Saccharomyces cerevisiae S288C: one gene and its partners. The gene in region 3 interacts genetically with the main gene of each other region. Each region holds a gene or a part of one and is shown on either strand. Other genes may lie near its edges.

The links.
Region 1: mutations in DEG1 (region 3) and SLX9 together harm fitness more than expected from each alone (negative genetic interaction), as found in Saccharomyces cerevisiae (4 studies listed by BioGRID, with this or other methods).
Region 2: mutations in DEG1 (region 3) and IRA2 together harm fitness more than expected from each alone (negative genetic interaction), as found in Saccharomyces cerevisiae (3 studies listed by BioGRID).
Region 4: mutations in DEG1 (region 3) and IDH2 together harm fitness more than expected from each alone (negative genetic interaction), as found in Saccharomyces cerevisiae (4 studies listed by BioGRID).

Annotation. Positions count from the first base shown.
Region 1 is NC_001139.9:642,481-646,497, forward strand, and holds SLX9 (Slx9p), read right to left. Parts: upstream 1,301-4,017; coding exon 668-1,300; downstream 1-667. Other genes in the region: twinfilin TWF1, read left to right, coding at 1-528; TOM complex receptor protein TOM20, read left to right, coding at 1,564-2,115; GCD2 (translation initiation factor eIF2B subunit delta), read right to left, coding at 2,380-4,017. UniProt on the Saccharomyces cerevisiae protein: Involved in ribosome biogenesis. Required for normal pre-rRNA processing in internal transcribed spacer 1 (ITS1). May be involved in the movements of the replication forks.
Region 2 is NC_001147.6:169,150-178,558, reverse strand, and holds the start of IRA2 (Ras GTPase activating protein IRA2), read right to left. Parts: upstream 7,490-9,409; coding exon 1-7,489. Other genes in the region: ATG19 (Atg19p), read right to left, coding at 8,585-9,409. UniProt on the Saccharomyces cerevisiae protein: Inhibitory regulator of the Ras-cyclic AMP pathway. Stimulates the GTPase activity of Ras proteins.
Region 3 is NC_001138.5:140,341-148,959, forward strand, and holds DEG1 (pseudouridine synthase DEG1), read left to right. Parts: upstream 1-6,790; coding exon 6,791-8,119; downstream 8,120-8,619. Other genes in the region: ATP-dependent RNA helicase SPB4, read right to left, coding at 4,774-6,594. UniProt on the Saccharomyces cerevisiae protein: Formation of pseudouridines at positions 38 and 39 in the anticodon stem and loop of transfer RNAs.
Region 4 is NC_001147.6:575,469-583,689, reverse strand, and holds IDH2 (isocitrate dehydrogenase (NAD(+)) IDH2), read right to left. Parts: upstream 3,441-8,221; coding exon 2,331-3,440; downstream 1-2,330. Other genes in the region: SIA1 (Sia1p), read left to right, coding at 9-1,877; GTPase-activating protein BAG7, read right to left, coding at 3,897-5,126; EFT1 (elongation factor 2), read right to left, coding at 6,064-8,221. UniProt on the Saccharomyces cerevisiae protein: Performs an essential role in the oxidative function of the citric acid cycle. Also binds RNA; specifically to the 5'-untranslated leaders of mitochondrial mRNAs.

The DNA of each region.
Region 1 (4,017 bases), on a different chromosome or scaffold from region 3:
AGGAAAAACACATCCGTCAAGTTGGTTTCTCAGGACAGTGCTTCGCCTTTATCGTTAACTTTCAGGGTCAATTCTGAGAAACCTATCAATGAAATACTGGATAGCGAGGGTAAAAATTTAATCATATTTCAAATCGATCCCTCGAACGAAACCATCCAGATCGTGCAATCTGATACATGTCCCTCCGTAGATGAACTGTACATTGACTTGCCCGGGCCAAGTTACACGATTTTCAGGCAGGGTGATTCAAGTTTCTTTATCTACTCTTGTCCCTCTGGCAGCAAAGTCAAAGATAGAATGATATATGCTTCTAACAAGAATGGATTTATCAACTACTTGAAAAATGATCAAAAAATCGCATTTAGTAAAGTGGTAGAAATTGGCGATTTTGTGGAACTAGACAAGTCCTTACTTATGGCAACAAATAAAGAAGATAGCCTCGATCATGGATCCAATCCAGATCTCCCAAACAAAAGCAATTTGAAATTCAACAAACCAAAGGGCCCATTGAGGAAAAGAAGAACATAGAGATAGAAATGGCATCTATATATGTGTGACCAACAATACATACGTTTTTATTCTTCTAAATATGAAACTGAATGTTTTTCTAGGTTTGCTGGAATATATATTACACTGGCAAAAATTGTTATGCTATGCTATTTAATGTTCATTGTTTTTGCAGCTTGATAACCTCTCTTAAGGCGCCAAATGGATTTTTTTGGAAATCTTGATTGGTTAGGACCTGATTGAATCTTGCAGTTTCGTTAGCAGCCAATGCCTTTGCACCCTTTTGGTTCCTGATATTTGGCTGATTCTTTTTTATCCTAACAGAACCAGGTTCTATCTTTTTCAAGTTCATTTCCTTTGTGTCCACAAACCTTATTTTAGAATCCATGTCGATGTCATCATCGTTATTCATGTCTTTGCTACTATTTTCAATAATGCCCCGTAAATCCTTTTCTTGCTCCAAAGAAGTGAGCAGATCTTGCATTCTTGGTTTTAGTTCTTCTCTTAGCTTTCTTTTCCTACGTCTAATGGAAGATTTAGAAATACCATCAAAATTGGCAGCTATGCCATCGTTAAGTGTGGATTTCCCCTTCAAGTTAGATAAGAAAGTATTCTGTCTGTTAAGTAGCTTTTCCTTTTTAGTTTCTTTAGGTTGGTGCAGAAAGGCCCTTGGATCAGATTCTATGTCATAACTCTCGTCCAGAATGCCATTGTTCGCTACGTCTGGTCCAAAATTTTGACTATTTCTTGCACTTACTTTGCTTCTAAGCGTGTTTCTCTTCTTAGCAACCATTATCGCTTATCTATGCTTCTATATTCAATGGATTTCCTGTCTCTTATCTCTGCTCATCGAGTCTGTAATGCTTGAGTATGTAAAACATGAAAAATTTGCAGTGCGTCACCCCGTTCAGTTTCTCGCGCCGAATAACATTTTTTATACAGGAATATTTCACCTTGATAATGGCCGACATTTACGTTATTTACCTATTGTCCCTTCGCCTAGACCTACAAGAAACATTGCCTCAAGTGCCACCTTCATAAAGTTTATTTTCTATTATGTCCCAGTCGAACCCTATCTTACGTGGCCTCGCTATTACAACAGCCATAGCAGCTCTATCAGCCACCGGTTATGCTATCTACTTTGACTATCAAAGAAGAAATAGCCCGCAATTCAGGAAAGTGTTGAGACAAAGGGCCAAAGAGCAGGCCAAGATGGAAGAACAAGCTAAAACTCATGCTAAGGAAGTGAAGCTGCAAAAGGTTACCGAATTCTTATCCATGGAATTAGCCAAGGACCCCATCCCTAGTGATCCCTCCGAAAGAGAAGCTACATTTACCACCAACGTAGAAAATGGTGAAAGATTATCCATGCAACAAGGTAAGGAACTGGAAGCAGCCTCTAAGTTTTATAAAGCATTGACTGTATACCCTCAGCCAGCCGATTTATTGGGAATTTACCAAAGATCCATTCCTGAAGCCATTTACGAATATATTATATTAATGATTGCCATCTTGCCTCCTGCTAATGTGGCTTCTTTCGTTAAAGGAGTTGTTGGAAGCAAGGCCGAATCTGATGCGGTTGCTGAAGCTAACGATATCGATGACTGAGAGTAACATTTTGCTTGCTTTTTTTCTCCGTTTTTGTTTCTTTTACTCTGTATATAGCCCTATATAATTACATCATTTCTCTAGCCTAAATCTTGTTATATATACCAAGCTTTTTGGAAAGCTAAGGATAAAAACAATTCTTTTCATTAGATGTATTTTTTCATCGTATTAGGTGTAATATATATATATATGTATATATATATATATATATAATATATATGTAGTATACACACGTGGACGACCATTAACGAATGTTGTATATGCTTATGCGGAACCTTTGTACTCTCTTAAAATAACAGGGACAGATGAAGGTGGCAAAGCGCCGAATTCAGTGATCACTTTTTTAATATATTCTGGTGGTGTTAAATCGTATAAGATGTTGACAATATTTAACGAAGGTAACTCTTGCCAACCATCCAAAATATTTTTGCTGTTGCTGTCTTCTTCATTACTGGCGTCCTTGCTTTCTCCTTCAGATCCTTTCTTACCGCCAATTTTATTACCCTTTGGCTTATTCTCCATTGCTAGCTTTTTCTTTTCAAATTTTCTTTCTTTGATAAATTGGTTTAATAACGCACCTTTATTACCGCGTCTCTCGACTGGATTTTCGTAATCTATATTAACCAGGTCATTTGGATCTGCCAGTTCATTAAATGTGACACTATCCAATTGTACTCTTTGTGAAAACTTCAAACTTTCGCAGCAGACTAATACAGGTATATTTCTTCTCTTAGCGCTCATAGCCAACATTGCTGTCCCAGCTCTTGAATATAGGAACCCATTAGATAGGATAGAATGGGCTCCTAAAAACACATAGTCCACATCCATATTGAATATCGTATCCAAACTTGTAATAAGTGCATACATAACATTGACACCAGCATTTCTTAAAGTTTCTGCCATTTTCCGCCCTTCAAATAGTGGTCTCGAATCGACGACAATCACTTTGATGTTTTTCTTTAAACTGATTGCATTATGCAGTAACAGTTCAGTTAGAACCTTTGATGAACCATATGTCACAATAGTAGTAGATTCTTCAATTTGTGTAGAGGCATTGTCTATAATTAGTTGATCAGCCAGTTCGATTTTTTCTTTAGCAAACTGCCCAATTTTCTCACAAAGGTCTTTTTTGGCGGCTTTGTCGGGGGTAGATGGGTCAATTAATGAAATTTCTTGCTTTAACCATCTGATAGCATTACCCATAGTAACACTTAAAGGTCTAGCTTTTTTCAAAAGATCAATCTGGTGTGACAAATAACTTGTTAAGTTACGTGACAAGGTAGTTCCCTTAGGTGTTTGATAGTCTTTGATAACAATTTGGAAAACCTCTAGCATGGCTATGCAACGTGGGATGGATCCCACGATTTTATAGTGTGCTAGATGAGAAGTTAATAATAATATCGACGGATGGATAAGGTCTTTATTCAATAAAAGTTCCTTAACAGACGATATCAAGCTGGAGTTGTCAAATGATTGTTCTAACACGGTAGGGATCACTGACGATATACCGGGAATGACATTAAACTCACCAGCCTCTAACGAGATAGATGCCAATGTCTTGGCAACATCAGAAGCGTTTGATGAAGCAATCTCTTGTTGTATAGCTGTTGGAGTATTTGTTGACGCAGAACTGGTACCGGCAGAGAGTGCTGCAGAAGAGGCAGGAAGAGTCGTTGTTGTTGAAGCTGGAGCTGATGCAGATACAGTAGACGACGCGTTTGGACCCACGGGCATCAAGGAAGAAGCCGTTAATACGTTAGATCCTGATAATGCACTAGCCACCACGGGGACCATCAACCCAGCAGCGGTGATTCGCGAAGTTTTTGGAGATGATACTGCACTGGTTAAAGCTAAAATTGTCGCTCTTCTTTCTTCAGTAGTTTCCAGATGACCAAAAAGTGT
Region 2 (9,409 bases), on a different chromosome or scaffold from region 3:
GGTTTTCGGAGTCTCTTTCTAACGCATGATTAATAACTTCATCAACGATAATGTCAGTTAAGCGGCCATCATCTAAAAGTAGCAACCAAACATATTGCATGTATACGGCTTTAAAGTCAGTCTCTCTCACAGAGAGCCTGATAAGAATTCGGAAAATGTGAGATATGTTTTCGGGGCCTTCTTCATCATCAGCCAAATACACATGTTGGTATAAATTAGGGATCCAATAAGACAAACCGCAAATGGTATGAGGGATGTAAACGTGAGGAATTACGTTGTTCTTCAATGCCTCCAAAACATAGATAAACATATAGGCTGTGAGTTCTGGATTAGACTCTGCAAGAGACTTTCCAATAACACCTAAAAATGTTGTAGTATCTTCGGGGACGTACACCTCGGGAGAGCGATGAAAATGGGAGCCAAAGTTCAAACCAAATGACGCCTCAGTGGCAGCTATTAGGTTATACGAACTGTTTTTCATTTTTTTACTCTCATCAAACAGACCAATAAGAGATACTAACAGTAGGTGGCACAATAGTTTTGTTCTCTCTTTCTGCTGTTTGTCCTTGTTGTTTGAATTTGGGGAGGAGGTACTCGAATTATTATCCATTTCATATTCACTTTCTAACCGGATCTGTGCGTAATAGAACATCTTCACAATTTCAAGGTATTTCGGACTACTAAAAATCAACCTTCTCTCGTCCTGAAAAGTTACTGTAAATTCAGCTGCCACTCCAGTTATTGACGAAACATGTACTTCAAATATTCGGCTAATTTCGTAGACATCATTGAATTTTACGTCGAATAAAGTACCCATGTCCCTTATTTTATATTGCCTAGGAGTTTCATGCAAGACTTGAAAGTAAATATCGCCTATTTTCAACGATACCGGCGTAAATCTATTTCTTTTTTCGTCATAAAGCGTGATATCATGCAGAGAGACACGAATATCTTGCAGAACCTTCAACCCTTGTCCAGTTATACCCACAGATTTCATAAGTCCTTCATCAGAGTTACTATTAATGAAATAATGAGGAATTTTCGAGGAAACATATACGTTGTCTTTGTCCAAACATTTTCCATAATTATCCATAAATGTCTCGTTTACGTTAAAGTAGTAACAGCCTATACAATTTTTGGGTGCAACTTCTGGTAATAGTCCCATAACCAAAGAAATAAATTTCCTCATATCAAGCCCTCCCTCGTCAAATTCTGTACAGTCGATTATTAAACAGTGTTTGGTGGTCCAGATTCGAGCATAAATTTGCAAGAACTTGTAAGCAACTGTATCAATGTCCACATGTCTGTCTGAGAAATTTGACATTGTTAACGTAATAATTGGAATGCCTTCACTTGAGGTGGACTCGTGAACGCTTGGGCTGTACGCTGTTGAAGTCTCAATGTTTCTGAACGCGTGCCTATTCATGAACTCATACAGTTCCGGATAGTCGTCCATATGTTCTCTTATGTATATTGGTATTTCATTGGAAAATTCCATTTTAGGTTGGCCTAATTGGCCAAGAACATCATCAATAAGTAAAAATGTGGTCTTATAGAAATCGTCACCATCAATGTCACCATCATCATGTTTTGCTTCATTTAGCACATTCCTTCTCACCTCAAGACCGTAAAGGTAAACAAAGGAATGAAGGAATTGATAGTCAAATGCAATTGGCGTTGGGTCTGTTCTCACTTGGATGTCTATCGTGCGATCTGTTCTACAAAGTTCAGCTAGGAATCTGAAAATTCTATCGCTACATTCCTTAAGAAAATCCTTTTGGGAACACAAAGCTGGCCATCTGGAGAAATTTTCTGAGCCATTGGCAATATTTTGGATAACTTTAGCCAAGCTGATGAAGGTACGCTTTTCGCTCAAGTGAGAAATATCTATGATATTTTCAGAATCAGGGCTGACTAAAGCAGGACAAAAAAACCGTAAAAACACGAAAGACCCAGCGGCGATAATTGCGTGATCCGGAAATTTTTCACACGCAACTTTATAAATGTTTTGGCAAATATAAAATAAAGGAGGGGGAAAATAAGATACGGAGTTGGATATGGATTCCAATAATTCATTCATGTATTTAACGAAGAGCTCTATTTGACGTTCAGCATCTGAATCTTCCGGTTTTAGTTTCTCAATTTCAAAAAAATCTCTGTTCTGGATAATTTTTTTTAGTAATGGTTGCAAAGTGCGAATCAAATATTCGTTACCCTTGGACCTGGCTAGCATAGATAATGATCTCGTAGCACAGCTATTTCTTCTAAGGATATCCGTAGGTCTGGAAGATTTTTCAATTTCATTTTTAATCAACTGTGCCACTACAATGTGGGTGGCATTCCTCGTTTCAAATGCATTTATTAAGCCAGCAGCATAAGCATCAATATCGCTAGCGGGACAAACCGCTGCTCCAAAGGACGATAGCTGGGGATGTTCAATCGTATATCGCAAAAATTTGTCTGCTGCCTCTAATTTTCCAAGGTCAGTTTTAGCCGTGTATGTCCGATAGTTCGTAACGATATTAATGAAGACCTCCAAAAATGCATTCCTAATGTTTCGATTTCCGGAATAGCCCATCGGTAAGGTGAACTGCAAACTCGCATCAACATTGGTGTTTGAAAGATTTGTTAATGAAAGTATTACATTGTCGTTGAGGACACTCATTTTGTGCCTCAAGAATACTGGGTAATTGTCACGATCACTACTTTTTTCAAGGCCTTTCATTAAGATGTTGAAATAAAACCCAAATATCACAGACCTAGATCGAGATAGTTCGGGATCTGACGCGGCAGGTGGAATCTCTAAGAAAGTATGTCTCGTGAGGTACGCAATAGCGGTTGAAGCTTCGATTGCCGTATCTATGTATAGAATATCCATGTCTCTTTTTACCAAATCCATTTCTTTTAGAGGTTTTGACAAGTTTTCGAAATCGTACTCTCTCGCAATACTCACTTGAAACCAATCAGTGATTTGCCTCAACCATTTATTTTTAACGTGAAAATGATTTTTGACACCTAAATTAACCTCTGAGTGCTGCAAGGCACTGAACATTTTGGTCATTTGAATAATTGCCTTGAGATATTTTGGACAATAGGCTGGTATTTTTTTTATTTCATCTGTCAATAAATCAATAAGATCTACAATCTCTGTGGAAAAAAGCATCATTACATAATTGTCATCATCACGACCTAGGATTGTCCGCAGCATTTTGATTATTTGTTCTAATAAAACATAGGAACTTTCATTTTCTGGTATTGATAAGTCTGAACAAGCAAGTTCTTTTAACTTGAGCCTCAAATTATTAAAAAGTAAGTTAAAAGACAAAGGATGCAGTTCTACACTTAGAATATCTCTTGAATTTTCTCTCGTTAATAAATCCGGATAGTTTAACCATTGGCATTGTTTTGAGATAAAAGAGTCTATATTTTTTTTCAATTCTGAAACGGTGTCGAGTAGGTATGGATACATTTCTTGCAATATCTTTTTATTGATGAATAGGATACCCGACAAAGAGGCTAAAATACCCGCGAAATTTCTGAAGTCGTTCCGTTCTTGTTTTTCTAAACTTTTACTGTGTGTGTAAGTATGCCACTTCTTATAGATCATCCTCATAGAATCAAGTAAGATAGCGTTAGGAATAGTAGCAAATCGTAAAATATTATTTCTTGTCCTCCTTTGGAAAGCAATTGAACCAGAAGTTGTGTAGTTGTCATGACACATCGCTTCTACAAACTCAATATTATGAACCCAAGTTTTATCAGCATCATCAATATTCCTCTCATGAAAATTGATTGCAGAAAGATACTCTGTGTAAGCAATCTTTAAAGTCTTTTCAATTTTTTGTTGACTAGAGTATAATGAAACAAATAGGGCCCTACCAACAGTCCCCATAATCAGCGGAAAGGTGAGTTTTTCAGAATCACTTATGTATTCCATGTGGTGTGAGGCCTCCGCGATCCCTGCTAAATGTGATCTAACCTTCATAAACTTGACAGTTATATCCAAGAGAATTTGACGCTTTTCATTATTAATTTTCAAATCGAAAAGGCCCATTGCAAATAATGTTACAGTGTAACTGCAAAGAAGATGATACCCTTCAATACTGATATTCTCATCTGATTCACCATAAGTAATAACATTCGATAATAAGGTATCCATGAATGATTGAGCAGTATTCTGTAAATCTACATCCGGACTTACGATGGCGACGAAAATCGGTTTCATAATATTTCTAAAATCCTGCGAAACCCATTGTAAATTCGAGTTTATATTGTGAGGAATGATGAAGTAACTATTCGGTCTCTTAAAAATACTGAAAATATTAATCATTATTCTTCTAGCATCTTGAAGAGTTGCTTCATTCAAATCTTTTGGTATCAAATGTTCTTGAATGTAATTATTTGTTGATTTCATGAATTTTCCTAAACTTTCATCGGAATAACGCCTCGTTCTTATTTTCTGCAAAGGCGATCGAATTCCGAATGCTGCCGACGATAATGGAGTAGAATTTGTTATGGCCATTGGTGTGGCACTGATGCTTTCCGTTTGCGGACGTTGTACTGGTGAAGATTTTTCCGTTCCTGGAGGTGAAGTCAATGTAGTCGGTATTTTATTCCTTATAATACTAGATGGCCCACCTAAAGCATGACGCGCTCTTGGGGCCACAAGATGTGACAAGTATGGATCAGAAGACAAGTTCTTTGGTGAACTGTTTAATGAATTAACGTTGTCAGAATTTCTTGAAGTACTTGAACCAACTAAAGACAGGGTGTTCATTGGACATATATCAGTATCCAGTCCCAGCGGAGAAACTGGTGTCATTGAACTTTGAGATGTAGATCCTGATCTTGACCGGGTTGTCGAACATAAAGAGGGTGAGCTCCCCTTGAAATGTTTCTTCGTACCATACTCATTGATAATTGTACCGTCAAGAATGGAAGCAACTATGTCGGTGATTTGCTCATCAAAATACGGAAATTCTTGTAAAAGAATATCTGCTATAATGGAGAATAATGTTTTGAAAAATTTAGAAATTTTAACCGCAATTGCCTTCCGCAATTCCTTCTTACTTGGTATGTCGAAGAATATCCTGAATCCTTCAGTATAAAGGCATAGCTTCTGCATGTTTAAATTGTTGGCCATTGTATCGATGCTCAGACGTGCCAGTAATAATTCATGATCGAATTGAATAGCTGAAGAGAAGAATATTAATTGTAATTGAACAAACGTGGTGGAGTTTTTTTTCAAACAAACCATCAAACTGTTATTTATTTTTGAATTCCAGTCTTGACCGACGCTTAAATTTGTCCCCATTATGGGGATGAGTCTCTTGGCAAAAAGTACTGAGGGTAAGTTTCTATCCACGAGAAAGACCGCAGAAGTCATTGTAAAGAATGATAGTAAGGCCCTCATTGTATCTAAGAGGGCAACATCTGATACAGCTTGATTCCCATTTAAATTTCTTAGCAACATCTTCACAAATTTTACAGTTTTTTTGGTTGAGGAAGGTAAAGAAGTTAATTTCTTTAAGCCTTGTGTAATATGTTTTATACCCGAAGTCTTTTCGGAACCTGTCTCGTGTGCAGTATTATTGAAAGAACTTGTTCTTTCTTTTGGACGATGCATAGTACAATCAGGAATATATTTGAATGATGTAGCGTTTAATTCATTAAAAAGGTCAATATCGAACATTGTCAAAGTAGTTAAAAACTTCAGTACGGATGTGTGTGGTAGTACCTCAGTATCATCAAAGTGCGTGTATAACTCCAAAACATTATCCAAACGAGTGACAGACAAAAAATGTTCGTCATAATCCTTACCAGTATGGCCAGTTTTGTGTGCATCGTATGAAGCGCGACTTTGTTGCTCTGCTGTGTATCCAGTTGGGGTGGAATTCGATGGTGAAGCAGCTGCGGCGGCGGCTGCAGCTGCTGAGTTCAACCGCTGTTGCAATTGTGTTGTTGGAGTTGGAGTTTGAGATAATAATGAAGATGCACTAATAGTGATGTTAGACATCGTGGGAGTATCTGGTAAGGAAGGGTCATATTCTCCTGGTTGAGTGTGAGTAGAGAAATCAGTTGTTGTTGAATTAGACGTTGAAGATGACAGTGAAGTAGAGGATTGAGAGTTTGTAGTCCATGAAGAATGTAGTTTTCTTTCAGACTGCTGTTGAATGTATGACTGGTGGTGAGAAAGCTGACGACTTAAGGATTTTGCTATTATGTTTTGATTGTTGTTATCCGATGATGATGAGCTAGGTGGTGACGATGGCGAGGAGGACGAAGGGGAAGATGAGCCTTGATGAGCATTTTGATTGGTGGTTATCATGCTATTCACATTAAAAGTCGAATGGATCTCCTCGAAAAGTGTATGGTTTAACGTGTTTAAGGATTTCGAGTGTTCATTGTTATTATCTTTTAATAAGTTGAAGAGTTCATAATATTCCGCAGGCCTAGCCATTATCCAAAACATTATTGCTTTGGCGCTGTAATGCAAAAGTAGGCAATGATAAATCGTTTTCCTTAACGTCACCGATAAGTTTTTGATGAGTTCCAAGTATTTCTTAAAATTATGCTTGCTTAAATAGATGAAGCTGAAAAGATCAAAGTGGGGCACTATGCTGTTATAAACGGAAGATGGCAAAGAGTGTGAATGGGAGTGTGAATGCGTGTGTGTCTGTGTTACGGGCACTTGCACACTCTTTCTGATAAATTCAAAATACTCGGACGGATTGGAAGCCGCTACAAATCGGAGAATATGGCCTAGAGTAGAGTCAATCATTTTACAATGAGAAGGATGGTTGTGCCTTGTCAGATAGGATTTGTGGCGGGGAAGAATCGAGGAACTCAAAGTCGTTAGAATGTTTCCATGAACATGACTGATCATATTTTGTAAAATTTGCAAAGTTCTTGTATTGAACTTCAACTTCGCGCAACTCTCAAGCAATTTCGATGCCAGTTCCGGTATCAGTGCCTGAGGTTTGCTCTGGTGGAAAAAGTGTTTGTTGCCATTGGAATGAGTCGACGAGTAGTCGGGCAGAATACTGTTAAGCTTTGGTCTGTACTTCTGTTCTTGGTCATGTTCTACGTGAGTCGAAATGTCGTTGTAATGAAGGCTTTCTTGATTTTGCCAATTATACTCTAGCGCATCACTTAACAATCTTAGTATAATCAGTATTGATTCAATAACGTCACTGCTACCCTTATCTGAAATGATTTCGTGCCCTTGAAGAAGCGATTCTATCAACTCCAAGGTGCCTTCCACCATAGCATTTGCATCTCGGGAAACGGTAACGTTAATGAGCACAGATCTGCATGAAATGAATGAGGAATACTCTTCCACTTCCGAATAGGTACTTAGATTAGACTCCACCGGAAGGATCGGGAGAATTCTTTCAAAAAGAATATGATTAACCAACGTCCGAGTCATGCGGGATGACTTGGAATCGGTCCCGTGTTCTTTCTTCTTATTCTTAGTGGGCTGGGACATGCTTCTCCCTGAAGAAAGATAATGTATACAGTTTAGTTGATATCAAAAAATGGTGTAACGTTGGGGGAAAAGTAACACTAAAGGAGAAAAGCAAAACGAATAACAGAGGACAATGCTATATGCTAGTGTGCTAAAATGTGGTTAAATGTTTGCTACAATTGGTGAAAAAGTACTTAAGCCTTGTTCTGATTTTGTTTTCGCTTTTTCGGTCTTTTGTTTCCCAGGAGCTCTAGACAATGAAGTAAGCGGAGAGAATGTAGGGCAATAGGATGTGCTTAACTCCCCGGTTATATGTAGAATAGATAATCGTTGGGCAAAACTTTTCACAAGAAGACACAGCAAAGCTTGGGGTTTTCAAAAAGGCGTGCGAGCTTTATTGTGATGGAAATTTTCGTTTCATCAAGGGAGCGTTCTAGAAGAAACGAGAGCTCTACGAACATTTCTGCGCCGCGGATTGATTCACCGATCGGGTGACCCTTTTTGAGGAGCTACTTTGGGTTGGAATCACACTAAAATGTGTAAGGCGGTCAGTATAGCAAAGAACTTGGGGTGGGACGCTGGTGCCGTGCAAGAAAGGCTACGTGAACCTCGTACTAGTCCAAGATATTGGCTCGATGCATTAATGGCAGACTCTTATCTCGCTAAGATGTTTGAAGGCACATCGGTTCTAGAGGTCCAAGTCCCAACCCAAGTCAAGGCCAAGCAAGGCAAGGGGATTTAGAATAGTTCTATCATTCTGCGGGGAATGAGCGGAAGAGTAAGAGTATTGGTTCTGTTGTGGATGACACTTACAAGGGTAACTACTGTTTTTCTTGTTTTCTTATTTTCTTGTTTCCCTGCTTTTCTCTGGGATCTGTGCGGAAGGCGTCATGTCCCTGCTCGTCCCTGATTGTCCGTACTTTTCTGGTTAGCCGTATATCGTTTGAAAGTAGATGGCATGTATGAAGAGCATGATGCTAGGTGATAAGTAATGAGAGGCCTTAGGAAGTAAAGAGTTTCGAAAAGGGTTATTTTATATTTATTGTATTTATTATATTTAATATATTTATGTGTATGTGAAAAGGTACTCATTGCTGTATAAAAATAGAGTTTGACCTAGAGTTCTTCCCAAGTCAGGGCTTTTTCATTGTCGTCACCGTCATAAGAGAGTGAAATGGATGTACTGATGATACTAGAGTCATCCAGTTCTGGTAACGTATCGATTTGAAAGGAGTAAAATGGCTCTTGGGATGCCTGTAAACTTTCTGCAGATAATCTTGAAGGTGGCCTTAAGTTAATCATTGGAGAAGAGCCATACTTGCCCAAGAAGATCACTTCTCCATACTGATTTTCAATCTCGATAGTGGAGCCGGCCTCTAAATCAAGTGCGTATGGAAAGTATCGGTATTCCTTGTACTCCTTTATTCCTATTTCATGAGGACCCATGTCAATAATTTGCGTGGTTGGCTTATCGCCAGCGTCAGTAAACTTCAGTTTGCAGTTGCCTGCCAAAACAGAGTTTGTGTTGTTAAACAACTGGAAATACAATGAATTGTCCCTTTGGTTCATTGTGATTTGCAATGAGCGCTCATTTGGGGGTTCCACTTCTATTTTAGTTTCCTTTTTCGAATGGTCAGAGGCGATTTCCGTCTTACTGTCACATTCTTGTGATAACCTCTCATAGTCATGGTAACGTTGAAAAACGTCCTCAAGTTGTTTGACTGTTTTCAACTCTGTGAAAAAGTTCACTAGTTCGGACCTATCTTCTGGTATGTCAATCGTACCGCTTATTCTGTGGTTAGGTTCTTTATTTGTGACCTTTTGCTCCAATTCCAACTTATTTAACGATTCTTCCAACTTAAGGAGTTGTTTCATGAAGTTATCCAAGCATTCTCTTGACACAACCACATTAGAGGTGGAATTAGGGCTTATCTCTTCTTC
Region 3 (8,619 bases):
TCGATATTAGCATTTATTAAGAACCAATTCAATGCTCGCGTTCTAGTTATCCAGATGGATCGTGGCTCCGAGTACACTAACAAAACTCTTCATAAGTTCTTTACGAACAGAGGTATTACTGCATGCTATACAACCACGGCAGATTCTAGAGCACACGGTGTCGCTGAACGATTAAATCGTACTTTATTAAACGATTGTCGCACACTGCTTCATTGCAGTGGTCTACCAAATCATCTATGGTTCTCAGCAGTCGAATTTTCTACTATAATCAGAAATTCATTAGTCTCACCAAAAAACGATAAATCTGCAAGACAACATGCAGGTTTAGCTGGACTGGACATTACTACTATACTACCTTTCGGTCAACCGGTTATAGTTAACAACCATAATCCCGACTCGAAAATACATCCTCGTGGCATTCCAGGTTACGCCTTACATCCGTCACGAAACTCTTATGGCTATATTATCTATCTTCCATCATTAAAAAAGACAGTAGATACTACCAATTACGTTATATTACAAGACAAGCAATCCAAATTGGACCAATTCAATTATGATACACTCACCTTTGATGATGATCTCAATCGTTTAACAGCCCATAACCAATCTTTTATTGAACAAAATGAAACGGAGCAGTCATATGATCAAAATACAGAATCTGATCATGACTATCAATCGGAGATTGAAATAAACTCTGATCCTCTAGTGAACGACTTCTCGTCCCAATCAATAAACCCTTTACAATTAGACAAGGAACCAGTCCAAAAAGTACGTGCACCAAAAGAAGTTGATGCCGACATATCTGAATACAATATTCTTCCATCTACTATACGATCTCGTACACCCCATATCATTAATAAAGAGAGTACCGAAATGGGTGGTACCGTTGAATCAGATACTACTTCACCTAGACACTCGTCTACCTTCACTGCACGAAACCAAAACCGACCTGGTAGTACCAATGAGATGATTGATTTGACCTCACAGGATAGAGTTAATTATGGACTTGAAAACATCAAAACTACACGTTTGGGTGGTACGGAGGAACCATATATTCAACGAAATAGTGATACAAATATCAAATACAGGACTACAAATAGTACGCCCTCAATAGATGACCGTTCGTCCAACAGTGAATCCACTACTCCCATCATCTCCATAGAAACAAAGGCTGTATGTGATAATACACCCTCCATTGATACGGATCCGCCAGAATATCGATCTTCTGACCATGCGACTCCTAATATAATGCCTGACAAATCCTCAAAAAATGTTACGGCTGATTCTATTCTTGACGACCTCCCACTTCCTGACTTAACCCATAAATCTCCTACGGACACTTCTGATGTTTCAAAAGATATTCCACACATACACTCTCGTCAGACTAATTCCAGTTTGGGTGGTATGGATGATTCTAATGTTCTGACTACTACCAAAAGTAAGAAAAGATCATTAGAAGATAATGAAACTGAAATTGAGGTATCCCGAGACACATGGAATAATAAGAATATGAGAAGTCTGGAACCACCAAGATCGAAGAAACGCATAAATTTAATTGCAGCAATAAAAGGAGTGAAATCGATCAAACCAGTTCGAACGACCTTAAGATATGATGAAGCAATTACATATAATAAAGACAACAAAGAAAAAGACAGATATGTTGAAGCTTATCATAAAGAAATTAGCCAACTATTGAAAATGAACACTTGGGATACAAACAAATATTATGATAGAAATGACATAGATCCTAAAAAAGTAATAAACTCAATGTTTATATTTAACAAGAAACGTGATGGTACACACAAAGCTAGATTTGTTGCAAGAGGCGACATTCAACACCCCGATACATATGATTCTGATATGCAATCCAATACCGTACATCACTATGCACTGATGACGTCACTGTCAATCGCATTAGACAACGACTATTATATCACACAGCTGGACATATCCTCTGCTTACTTATATGCTGATATCAAAGAAGAATTATACATAAGACCTCCACCACATTTAGGTTTGAATGATAAATTACTACGTTTGAGAAAATCACTCTATGGTTTGAAACAAAGTGGTGCAAACTGGTATGAAACCATTAAATCATATTTAATAAATTGTTGCGACATGCAAGAAGTTCGCGGATGGTCATGCGTATTTAAGAATAGTCAAGTAACAATTTGCTTATTCGTTGATGATATGATATTATTCAGCAAAGACTTAAATGCAAATAAGAAAATCATAACAACACTCAAGAAACAATACGATACAAAGATAATAAATCTGGGTGAAAGTGATAACGAAATTCAGTACGACATACTTGGATTAGAGATCAAATATCAAAGAAGCAAGTACATGAAATTAGGTATGGAAAAATCCTTGACAGAAAAATTACCCAAACTAAACGTACCTTTGAACCCAAAAGGAAAGAAACTTAGAGCTCCAGGTCAACCAGGTCATTATATAGACCAGGATGAACTAGAAATAGATGAAGATGAATACAAAGAGAAAGTACATGAAATGCAAAAGTTGATTGGTCTAGCTTCATATGTTGGATATAAATTTAGATTTGACTTACTATACTACATCAACACACTTGCTCAACATATACTATTCCCCTCTAGGCAAGTTTTAGACATGACATATGAGTTAATACAATTCATGTGGGACACTAGAGATAAACAATTAATATGGCACAAAAACAAACCTACCAAGCCAGATAATAAACTAGTCGCAATAAGCGATGCTTCATATGGTAACCAACCATATTACAAGTCACAAATTGGTAACATTTTCCTACTCAACGGAAAAGTGATTGGAGGAAAGTCGACAAAGGCTTCGTTAACATGCACTTCAACTACAGAAGCAGAAATACACGCAGTCAGTGAAGCTATTCCGCTATTGAATAACCTCAGTCACCTTGTGCAAGAACTTAACAAGAAACCAATTATTAAAGGCTTACTTACTGATAGTAGATCAACGATCAGTATAATTAAGTCTACAAATGAAGAGAAATTTAGAAACAGATTTTTTGGCACAAAGGCAATGAGACTTAGAGATGAAGTATCAGGTAATAATTTATACGTATACTACATCGAGACCAAGAAGAACATTGCTGATGTGATGACAAAACCTCTTCCGATAAAAACATTTAAACTATTAACTAACAAATGGATTCATTAGATCTATTACATTATGGGTGGTATGTTGGAATAAAAATCAACTATCATCTACTAACTAGTATTTACGTTACTAGTATATTATCATATACGGTGTTAGAAGATGACGCAAATGATGAGAAATAGTCATCTAAATTAGTGGAAGCTGAAACGCAAGGATTGATAATGTAATAGGATCAATGAATATTAACATATAAAATGATGATAATAATATTTATAGAATTGTGTAGAATTGCAGATTCCCTTTTATGGATTCCTAAATCCTCGAGGAGAACTTCTAGTATATCTACATACCTAATATTATTGCCTTATCAAAAATGGAATCCCAACAATTACATCAAAATCCACATTCTCTACAGTATACATATTATTATAGCCTTAATCAACAATGGAATCCCAACAATTATCTCAAAATTCACCAATATCTCAGAGACTATATCTGAAACAAACAAAGACGTATAGTCCAAAGCAATATTCAAGGAAACTACAAAGTGAGATTAGCTACGTAGAAATAGGAGAAAAAGTATAAATTTAAAGTTAAATTCAGATCTCAAATTCTCTTAATATTTGAAATAAATCCGCTGCGTGACAAATCCCGTGATGATCTCGGAATATTTATATGTTACCATTTATACTTATGGTAGAATTATACTCACTAATGAATGTACGGTTACTATTTGGAACAAGTGGTCATCAATTGCCATAGTAACATTTTGAATGCTTGCATCGTGCATGAATACATACCGCATATATGTTTAAGTATGAATATACCTGTTAAAGAAAGTAATGAATCTGTATTGAAGAACCGTAGGTTTGACATGATCTGGTCGTTATATATACGCGTAATATGACTAGTCAAACTAAATGTATGACAAGTTCCAGAACTACTATTACATTGATCATAAGTAATAATACACAAATCAGCGTGTGTTTTATACTTCTCTTATATAGTATAAGAAGATCCATATTTAATCTTCATTAACACTACTTCTTAACCTCTAATTACCAACGGGTCAATGTTAGGATAATTGTTGGCATTCCATTGTTATTAAAGGGAATCAAAGTATATTAAAAATTCTTCCCAAGGATGTAATAACCTAAAAAAGGAAGCCCATATTTCTATATAATGTTATTAATATTTTCTTTTTCATATTATTGTCGCCACTCTTTATTCCATTACATTATCAAGTCTTGCATTTCGGCTTCCATTAAATTTGATGATTATTTCTCAGTCTTTGTGCCATCTACTCACACTCAATTTTAATATAGTGTTAATATGAATACTAATCAATGAGCGATCATTGGTTCCATTACAATAACGTTGTGATCGGAACTTATTTTGAAGTTATTCCTGTCGACTGCCTGATGTCAGTATTGAGGCTGTTTGATTATTTCTGAACATAATATCCTTTTCCTGTTACAAGTACATGCTGAACAAGAGATATATATTATGCTTTAAGATGGAGTATAATGGTTTTAGAATATTTTAAATTAAGTATGCATACACAAATAATCTACTTACTCACTATGATGCTACAAGATCATCCATTGGTTAAGAATGTTGAGTGATTCTACGAACAAGGTAACTTTTTTTCCATAATTATAAGTCGTCAAAATTGCCTTGGATAGCTTTGCTGGAAACTTTCTTCCGTTTATTCTGTAAAACGATTTCTTTCCAATCCTCTTTAATACGCTCTTCTTCAGCATTTTCATCGAGCTCTTCTGCTTTCAATTCTTCCTCTATAGCCTTCCTTTTTAAACTCATCTTTTCCTTTCTCTCGAGTTTCCGTTCTTTCGTCAATGTTTTATCTGACCACGCTAAATTCTTCTTCTTCAACTCACTTTTCAGCTTCTTTTTATCATTAATCAGGCTTATATTTTTTAATGTTTCTTGTCTCTCCTTTTCACGTTTTTTGTCCTTGTATTTATATTCATCCATATTAACTGGGGGATCGACCAACCAATTCCCTGGGAAAATCCCTTCTTGTTTTTCGGTGGCTAAGTACTTTGTTATCTCAGGCATTCTAGGCAGGCGGAAAAGACCATACAATTTCGCAATACCAACATAATCTAAAGATTGAAGCCTAAAAATTGAAGTTGCGGAATGATTTGAGTAGTATTTAATAAAGGCAACATATGCTTTAACACCTTTATCAAATCTATCCCTATCTTCTAGTATCCAATTTCTAAAGTCCTCGTAAAAGTTTGTTGTTATGCCCTTTACTTCCAAATCAAGTTCTTCAAGTTCCACATTTTTAACTTGCATGAAAGGAATAAAATCCTCTTCTCTGCCTTCATTAAGAAACGTAATTGCTTTACCCACTCTATTTGCTCTACCAGTTCTACCACATCTATGCATGAACATATCAGTATTGGTAGGGGGATCAAGCTGGATGACGAGATCAACGTCGGGTATGTCAATACCTCTAGCAGCCACATCTGTTGTGAATAAAACAGAATTACTTAGCGAATCAGTAAAAGCTGTTAGAGTTTTTGTCCTTGCCGATGTTTGAAGTTTTCCATGCAAGGAAAATATTTCTACTTCATTCACGAGAATATTCCTCTTTCCCAAATACTGGATAAATGAGTAGAAGTAGGAGACTGACACACATGTTGGAAAATATACAATACATTTCTTGAATTTGTAGTTATTCAAAATGCTAACCAAAAGTTGTAGTTTTTCGGCAGGATTTACGACACAGTAATTTAATTTCAAAGAGGAGGGCGCCTGGTTCTTAGAGTTAACGGTAATCCTGACAGGATTTCTAAGCCCTGTCTTAAAGATATCTGATCCGGCGCTACGCATAGTTGCAGAAAATAGACCCGTCCTTCTTTGTTTAGGCAATAGCCTCAGAATTTTTTCGGTATCCTTAATAAAACTCATATCCAACAATCTGTCTGCTTCATCCATAACTACCATACTGCATGCTGACGTCTTTACTGCTGGCATTTGTAAAAAGTCCAAAACTCTACCAGGTGTTCCAATCAGAATCTGCGGTCTATTCCGCAGAAAATTACTTACATCATCTCTAACTGTGGCTTCATTAGTACCAACCAGGAGCTGACATTTAATAGGGAACAAGTCGGAAGGATAATGTTCCAGAAATGATAGAACGACAGACTCAATTTGGCGTGACAATTCTCTTGTTGGAGCAATAATTAACGAGTGGAAGTGTGCTTTCTTGAATTTTGATGTATTCGCTTCTTCCTTTACAACTTTTTCTAGTACAGGTATAACAAACGCAGCGGTCTTACCTGAGCCTGTTACAGAATCAACTACTACATCCTTGTTGCCAGCAAGCATGGGAATTGTCGATGCTTGGACTGGAGTCATGGTCTCAAAACCCATAACATCGAGTCCTGTCCTTATCCAGGGAAGTAAAGAAAACCCGAGATTATCCCATTCCAATGACTTTGACATTGTTTTTATTGCTGCTGAGCTTTTAATATTATCTTACTACACCTCAAATCAATGGGCTCAGCTCATCTTGAAAAGCTCACTTTGTTTTTCAGTGAAAAATTTTTGAAAGCGAAAAGCCGGCTCAAAATAAAGAATAATATAGTATTCTCGAGGTGCCCACATGCAATCTTTACTGCCCTACTATAACCTCCCTTGAATGAGTAATTTCATTAGAAGGCTAGTTGGGAAAATGAAAGCGATTTCAACAGGTACCAATGCTATTGTTAGTAAGAAGGACTCCATTTACGCAAACTGGTCCAAAGAGCAGCTAATACGAAGGATCACTGAACTAGAAAACGCAAATAAGCCACATTCTGAAAAATTCCAGCACATCGAGGATAACAAAAAGCGCAAAATTTCGCAAGAAGAGGTTACGAGAAGCAAGGCGAAAAAGGCTCCGAAGAAGTTTGACTTTTCTAAACATAATACCAGGTTCATCGCCTTGAGATTTGCCTATTTGGGATGGAATTACAATGGCTTAGCTGTTCAGAAGGAATACACACCGTTGCCTACAGTAGAGGGTACCATTTTGGAGGCCATGAATAAGTGTAAACTTGTTCCCTCGATGGTTTTACAAGACTATAAATTTAGCAGATGTGGCAGAACAGACAAGGGAGTTAGCGCCATGAACCAAGTTATATCGTTAGAAGTCCGTTCCAATTTAACAGATGAGGAACAGCGGGATCCGACCAACGACAGCAGGGAAATACCCTATGTTCACGTTTTAAATCAATTACTACCCGACGATATTCGTATATCAGCTGTCTGCCTCAGACCGCCACCTAACTTTGACGCAAGATTCAGCTGTGTTCACCGGCACTATAAGTACATCTTTAATGGAAAAAACCTTAATATTGAAAAAATGTCTAAAGCCGCATCATATTTTGTTGGAGAGAGAGACTTCAGGAATTTTTGTAAGCTTGATGGCTCAAAACAAATTACCAATTTTAAACGAACAATAATAAGCTCAAAAATTCTTCCCCTTTCTGAAACTTTCTATTGTTTTGATCTCGTTGGTTCAGCATTCCTATGGCACCAAGTTCGTTGCATGATGGCCATTCTTTTCTTAGTTGGTCAATCACTTGAAGTGCCGGAAATTGTCTTGCGTCTGACTGATATTGAGAAAACCCCTCAAAGGCCTGTTTACGAAATGGCAAATGATATACCATTATTGTTATATGATTGTAAATTTCCTGAAATGGATTGGCAAGAACCTACTGTAGATGACTATAAGGCAATAAAATTCACGACAGCTACTGAAGCATTGACGTTACACTACGAACTTAAGGCCGCAGTATGCAATATTTTTAAAGATGTTTTGCCCACAGCAAATACAAACAACTTCTCAAAGACAATTATTAATTTGGGCGATGGAAGAGGTAAAGTAGTCGGTACCTATGTGAAACTAGAGGATAGAAGCGTTATGGAACCTGTCGAAGTTGTTAATGCTAAATACTCCAAGAAAAAGAACAACAAAAATAAGTAAAATAATATATAAACCTGTATAATATAACCTTGAAGACTATATTTCTTTTCATCACGTGCTATAAAAATAATTATAATTTAAATTTTTTAATATAAATATATAAATTAAAAATAGAAAGTAAAAAAAGAAATTAAAGAAAAAATAGTTTTTGTTTTCCGAAGATGTAAAATAGGTTGAAAGTTAGAAATTAGTATTATAATAGCAAAAAAAATTTAAAGTTAGAAATTAGAATTTAAGGCTCTACACACGTTTACGATGATATTGGACGACCGACACGAAAAGACAGTTTTAGGCTTTCTTTTGTCTTGCTCTTGCGTTGAAAGTACGTAATTTCCATTCGATTACTTACTCAACACTTGATATAGAGACCAACTATAAAATAAACTGTTTGGGAAGGAAAGCAGAACTCTTGTAATTACCTCATCTCATTATCAAGAAGCAAAATTTTAACTATGTATTTTGACCTTATTTTTGTACTCCACTTTTTTTTTTTAGTTTTT
Region 4 (8,221 bases), on a different chromosome or scaffold from region 3:
ATATTTGCATGAGATTACATTATAGAAGAAGATTTAATTTTTTAAGGAGAATACTTTTTATATTATGCATTACTTCATTGTATTTATCGAGAGATTCACTAAAGCTACATGCAAAAAATGTATTAATGGATCATAATGTAGCAGAATATCATGGCGGAATGATAGACGATATTCAAATCCTGCGGTGCTACCATTGGTACAGGCAATGTAGTTCTTTGTATGCCCCGAAATTACACCCCTCCAATACTGCTAAAAAGATCAAAGACAAAAACAGCATTCTGTGGACCAGAGTTTCTAAGAATATTACTGTAGAGACATTGTATTCACTTCAGTCTGGACCATTCTACAACAGTTACTTATATGTTCATCTGAAAGATTTCCAAAGTAATCCAAAAAACACAATAAAAGAACTAGCCATAGCAAGGGACTCAGCACTAATACCCCTACAAGTGCTGAGAGACATTAATAAGTTGGTGAAATCGAGCGACAGTTCTGTCTTTCACAATCATGTGTATCTACGAGAAAAGCCTACTTCGTCATGGTGGAAGCTGCTTTTCGGCATATCCGTTGATACAGATAACATAGCTGTGTTCGGTGAGGAGTGGGTATACAAGGGGAGCGGCATATGGTGTAAGTATATCCTTAATGATGATGATAATGACGCTCCTATAACTAATTTGGAAATATATCTAGGATCATCGTTTATTGAATCGAGGCCTTCTTGGAAAGAAGTTATCCATGAATTTCATAGAAATAACATACCTTCTCTGCCCATATCAATTACAAGAAAGCTTGAAACCAAAAACCATCATCACAAATTTTCTAATGGATTGCTAGGTTCTTTGAGAACACCCAGCAAAGACATTAATATCCAAGTCGATGCAGATTACAAAATAACATCTCCCCATATACAATTTTCGAGGGGACAAAGATCATTCAAAATTCTCCAAATAACTGATTTTCATTTCAAATGTACGGATAATAGCATGACCGTAATCAATGAAATAAAAACAGTAAATTTTATTGATAGGGTACTCGCATCAGAAAACCCTGATTTAGTTGTGATCACAGGTGATTTGTTAGACTCACATAATACTATCGACTATCAAACGTGCATTATGAAAGTTGTCCAACCAATGATTTCTAATAAAATACCCTACGCAATTTCATTGGGTGTTTCTGACGAATCCAATTTGGCCACATCGGCACAAATTAGAGACTTTATCAGGAATTTACCTTACACATTTAACAACGTTGCATCAGAAGAGGGTCATATGGCCATAGAAGTCTCATTTAAAAAGAAGCTCACGAAGAATACTCTTTTGGAAAGAGACATTGATACCGAAGACGAAACAAACCCATCAGAGGCTTTATTTTTCGTCTTTGATTCATTTGCGCCCGTCAATAATTTCCTACAAGATTATAACGACCTGATTGGGAAAATAGACTTTGGCTTGGCATTTCAATATTTTCCATTATCGGAATATAGGCCTCATGGTTTATTTCCTATTATTGGGCAGTATAATGAGAGGTCTACCTTAACAGTAGATACGCCAAGGTCTAGAGGACAAGTTTCAATGACGATCAATGGCAAACATTACAAAAGCTTCCTTGATATCCTGAGTCTTTGGAATATAAAGGGTGTCAGTTGCGGACATGAACATAATAATGACTGTTGCTTACAGTCAAAAAATGAGATGTGGTTATGTTACGGTGGGTCCGCTGGTATAGGCTTGCCGAGAATCCAAGGTATATATCCAACCGTTAGATTATTTAACTTGGATGATATTTTGGACGAAATAACTTCGTGGAAGAGGAATAGCAATCTTGTTGACGAGGTTTACGATTATCAGTACATCTATAAGGGGAAGCAATAATTTCAATGATTAATTTTGTAAGGTGAACATTGACTGCCAGCAGGATAGATGATAGATAGACATAAACAAAATATACATAACACACGGTGGTGTTTTCTTTTTACACATAATATATTTAATTCTTTTTCTTTTTTTTTTTTTTTGGTTTACAAGTCCACTGAGGGACATTTTGAGTTATCACTTATGGTCTCCTGTAGCATTATTAAAAGAATAAATATCGAAAAGTATACATACTTAATAAAAACTTCAGGCTATTAAATAAACATCAGAACACATTGAGGACAAAGCCATAGAAGTTTGGAGTAGATACGGAATTTTTATTGTATGTATATATTATATATCTAAGCATTTTGCTTTTTTTTACTTCATAATCTTTCAGAAATCATTATATTAAACGGATAGTCATTTGTTTTCAAGGCGTGAAAAAACCTGAGAGGGAAAAGAATAGGACTTTTATAATCTCTTGATGACTGCTTCAGTGAATGATGAAGTAGTAGCAGTACCAGCCAAGTCACCTGTTCTGTTTTCTGGACCTGATGCGATAGTAGACAATACTGCATTTTGAATTTGGTCAGCATGATTCGTTAGACCCATGTGGTTTAACATCATTACTGAAGATAAAAGTAGGGCAGTTGGATTCGCTTTATCTTGACCGGCAATATCAGGGGCAGAGCCATGGACAGCTTCAAAGATCGAGATTTTATGACCAATATTGGCAGATGGAGTTAAACCTAAAGAACCGGCGCTCAAACCAGAGTTCAAGTCGGACAAGATATCACCGTATAGATTTGGACAAACAGAAACAGCGTCTGTGTAAGCAGATGGGTTGGTGACCACCTTTAACACACTGTTATCAATAAGTTCAGTTTCTAAAGTAAGGTCAGGATACTCTTTGGATAGTTCTTTGGCAACATTAACGAATAAACCATCAGCTAATCTCTGGATAGTAGATTTATGTACCACAATAACTCTTGGTCTGCCGATGGCTCTTGCATATTCAAAAGCGTATCTAATGACTCGCTCAGAGGCATCTCTTGTGATCAGTTTAATAGATTGAACAACGCCAGGGCAAACTATGTGTTCGATACCAGAATATTCACCTTCGGTATTCTCTCTGATAAGAACTAAATCAACGTTTTCGTAAGTGGTCTTAAAACCTTCAATAGACTTTGCGGGACGAACGTTGGCAAATAACCCAAATGTTTTTCTCAATGTCAAATTCAAAGATCTGTGACCTTTACCAATAGGTGTAGCTAGTGGACCTTTTAGTGCAACCAGGTTTTTTGTGATAGATTGTACGGCAGGGTCAGGAATGGTCGTTAATCCGTTGACAAAGATAGGGCTAACATCACAAGATTCCCATTCTATGGGGACGTTTGCTGCACTAAAGATTTTCTTTACAGACTTGGAAATTTCAGGTCCGATACCATCACCTTCAATGAACGAGACCGTGTATTTGCCGGTAGAAGGGTTAGGTTTGCCGGTATATCTTCCGATTGAAGGTTGCTTTACAGTAGCCAAAAACCTCCTCGAGGTGTTTCTAAAAAAAGTATTTCTCAACATTATTAAAAAATATTATAATTGTTGTTCGTTCCCGATCTGTATCTTATTATCTACCAAGGTAATTCAGGTTCAGAAAAAGTGTATCCAATAATGTCATGCACTTGGAATATATATTTATATAAATATGAATAATAAATGAAAAAGAAATAAGAAAAGAGGAAAACTTTAGAAGGAGGGTTTTTCTGATATGACTATGATGAGAAACTAAAACCTTAGGGCCTATAATAAGGGACCTATGAGCTTTTCAATAACTTATATATTCTTTAACCAAACAATGGAAGTTACAGAAAATAGGAACTGACCAACCAGAGCGGCCCGTGTCATGCCCCCCCTTGCCGAGATGCGGACCGAGATTGCTGAAAGAAGCGCCGAGTATCGCAAAAGGCCCCTGGCGGGGCAACGACAATTTCTTCGCCGAACCTCGGAATCGACTAGCAGATCACAGTGCTTAGGAAGCTAAGGCTGCGTTCTAGAAGGGCTAGTGAGTCTTCTCAACCATGACTGTCGTTGTTTGTGTTTGGTTTTATGTTCACCTCTAGGAACTCTTTCTGTAGGGTCTTTGATGCCAGTATTGCTGCTGTTTCCAACGTTCCCAAGTAATTTACTAAGTCTGGGAGAAAGGGACTCTGCACTCAATGTTCTACCTTTAAAGGATCTCGGTACAGAAAGCCCATTGTTATCAAAATCTATTGGGCTAGGAAACAGTGCATGATGATGATGATGATGATGATGTATGGTAAAATTGTTGGAGTCAGAAAGTGCACGTGACCTTGGAAGCATATGGTCATCTATTGAAGGGTGCACAAAATCTTCTTCATCGGAGTCAATAGCCATTTCAGGAACGGTAATGTTGTTAAACTTTGCTACTGTTCCTGCATGCGGCATGGTGTCCTTATTCGCTTTTTCCGTATTCGGTATTATATCTGAAGCGTGTAGTATGAGGAATTCGATGACAGTTCTGGAAGCCTCATACTCTTTCGGGCACATTTCATCCTTGGGATGAGACAAAAGTGAGGGTTGTACGATGGCCGCTAAATTGCTTGCTGACATTAAATTCTTCTTTTCATTTCTTGCAAATAAATTCAAGAGCGCGGCTAAATAAAGTATTAAATGGCGATTTTGTTGTGGTAAGAGCATATAAATATCTTCGTAGTCCTTAATGATTTGTTCTTTGTGCTCATTTATTTTTGGGTTTTCTAATATTGGATTTCTAAAAATGTCGTATAATGCTAGGGGAACCAAAGGCTCACTTAATGAGTTCAAATATCTTTTTAATAAAGTTGCAATGTCATGAACATTGAAATCACACCATCCTTCAAATTTACGACCATAATCGGGCGGTTTAGAGAAAACAGCTTGTAGCTCTCTAACACGTTTATTGCTTCCCGCAATACGGAAAATTCCTGTTGTGTCTAATGCATTCTCTTTTAGGTATTTCCCACTTTTTGCTATTACCACCGGTATGGAACCAATTTCATTTGTACTTTTTTGGATAATTACTTCCTCTTGAGCAACTTTCAGTGATTCCTCGAGTGAGACGCCAAATACTTTACCATCAAATTCGTTTTGCAAATTAGTAAAGGTGTCCCTATCCTTCTTGCCCTCAACAGAAGACATTGAAGATGACCTATTCTGTGGAGAACCCTCTTCAGAAGAAGGTGTAGAAAGTAGATTCATGTTAAACATTCTATTTTATGTTGTGTAATAAGATATGTCCAGAAATATACTATGGTTATTTATGTACTCTTTCCTGTGTACGCGTTTCGATTATTTTGCAGGTTATATTATATACTGCTATCACATGCTAAAACAAGAGTATCTAACAATGGGAACACAAAGCAAGTATTGATTTACTCATTCCAGTTGTGTAATTTTCTTCTAAAGATGTACTTAAATAAGAAGAAAACAATGATTGTCTTCGACCTCAACGCCTCGAACCAACGCTTTCCCCAATAGCGAGAGAAAGTAAGTAACCGGAAAATTAATTACCTCTTTCTTTCACCTGCAGGGGCTGAGGTGCTTCTGTTAGTGCGCCTCTAGAAGTATCGGCCATAATGAGATATATACTTTGGTTGCCCCTCCGGTTTTGAGGGAGTTTTAGCCCGATGAGGCTGGTCCTCCCCTCCAAGGATTTTTTGTATTTCCTATTTCGCTCTAATTATAGAAGCACCAACATACGGCGGGGTATAAACCAAACAATAGCCGCGGAAGCCCAATCTTCTTCTCCTTTTTTCGTAAACGGATAAAAAGCTATGACCAAGAGCCAGGTAAGTTATACGTAATACTACCTCAGGACCGATGTCATTAATGAATTATAATGGTTTTTAATAGTTTTTTCCATAGTATATCTAACGGGGTGGTGATACGTCGTAATAGTCAAGAAGTTGCCGTTCCTCCCCCTCTACAAAGGGGGCGGTAATACGAAAAGGTCCATTTTTATGATGGGTTCGATTGTAAACATTCGGAATATAACTATATGACAAAAATGTGTAAGAAAATAATATATAAGTCTATTACCATACTATTTTTATTACGACAAAATTTTAAAGCAGAGAATAAATGAAAAAGATCATAAGGCGGTAAGGTTTGCTCTTACAGAACCACCTTTTCTCATTTAGACTTCTTACAATTTGTCGTAATATTCTTGCCAGCCTGGAACTTCTTCCTTCATACCGTGTCTCTTACGAGCAGCAAGAACAATTTCACCAGCCTTAGAGGTTGGGTCCAATGGGTCAGAACCTAAAGTGGACCAATGGTCGAAAACCATTTGTGGGAAAGCTTGACCACCGGTAGCTTGTCTCAATTCACCAGTGAAACCGAAAGATTCGTTAACTGGCAAGTAGGCCTTGACGGTAAACAATGGAGTACCTGGTCTTTGTTCTTCAGAAACGACTTGACCTCTCTTCTTGTTTAAGACGGAGTAGATACCACCGACGGCTTGTTCTGGACATTGAATTTCGACCAAGAAAACTGGTTCTTGGATCTTTGGATCAGCCAACAAGAAACCGGCGTAAGTAGCTCTTCTCATGGTTGGGATGATTTGACCACCACCTCTGTGGATAGCATCGGCATGTAAAGTAACATCCAAAATGTTAACTCTGACAGATCTCATTTCTTCACCGAAAATTGGACCTTCCTTGGTAGCCCATTGGAAAGCAGCAACAACGGAATCCTTGATTTCGTGCAAGTATTGGACAGCCTTAGTTTGGTCAATAACCAAGTTTGGACCGTTACCGTCTGGACCGAAACACCAGATCTTTCTGGCATCGGTGACATCCCAACCGTAGTCGTCAGCCATGATTCTAGCTCTGGCCTTGAAATCATCTCTTGGGTTGATGATACCGTTTTCAATAGCCAAAGAGACTTCTTCGTCAATTGGTTCAGCCTTCAAGTAGATTCTGTTATGCTTGTTTGGAGACTTGGACAAAGCAGTTTGAGAAGATTCACTTTCAACAGTTTCTCTGTAAGCGACAACTGGTGGGGAGATCTTCAATGGAACACCAGCGTGGTCGTGTTCCAAATCTTGCAAACAAATTTCCAAATGCAATTCACCGGTACCAGCAACGATATGTTCACCGGATTCAGACATATAGGTCAAGACACATGGATCAGACTTGGACAATCTCTTCAAACCTTCGACCAATTTTGGTAAGTCGTTAGCGTTCTTGACTTCGACAGCGACTTGCACAACTGGAGAGACAGAGAATTTCATGACCTTCATGTTGTGAGCAGTTTCACTGGTGGTCAAAGTACCAGTCTTCAACAAGAATTGATCGATACCGACTAAACCGATAATGTTACCGGCTGGACAGTCATCGATTGGTTCGACAAATCTACCCATCATCAAAACAACTCTTTGAATGGCCTTGATGAACAAATCGTCCTTCTTACCTGGAACGTAGTTTGGACCTTGGATTCTGACCTTTTGACCGGACTTAACAGTACCGGCAAAAACTCTACCGAAGGCGTAGAATCTACCCTTATCAGAGGTTGGCACCATCTTGGAGACGTACAACATCAAATCAGCCTTTGGATCACAGTTCTTGATAGCAATACAGTTGGCATCGTCAGCTGGACCTTCGTATAATTGTTCAGCTCTGTAGGCTTGAGCAGTGACTGGAGATGGCAAGTGCAAGACAATCATTTCCAATAAGGCATCGGCAGCTGGCAAGAACTTTCTCATAACAACCTTCAACAAGGCCTTACCTTCCAAGTCCTTTTCGTCACCCTTCAAGACAATTTCCAACTTTTCTAGCAAAACTGGAATTTCGTCTTTCTTGAAGTTCATGATAGCAGTGAATAATCTGAAGATTGGGTCCAAGATGAACATGTTGAAAGCTCTTTCCAATGGCTTACCTTCAGCATCAGTGTCCTTGTTGGTCCACTTCTTGGTCTTTGGGTTGAAGAAAGAGTCACCCCATAATCTGTCCATCATCTTGGCCTTGTCGACACCGAATTTCTTAGCATATCTGGTGGCGAATTGACGGATAGTGAAAGCCCAACCGTGCAAACCGGAACCGAAGGCAACGGTACCTCTGGCTGGGTAAACTTGGACATCACCCAAAACTTCATCGGCGTAGGTGGAAACGATGACGTTAACGGATTCAACAGTTCTGGCAAAGGTTTGGTATAAATCTTCCTTAGAAACTTGCAATTCCAACAAAGCTCTGTCGACCTTGTTGATAACAACAACAGGCTTGATTCTTTCACCCAAAGCTTGTCTCAAAACAGTTTCGGTTTGGACACAGACACCTTCAATGGTGTCGACGACAACCAAAGCA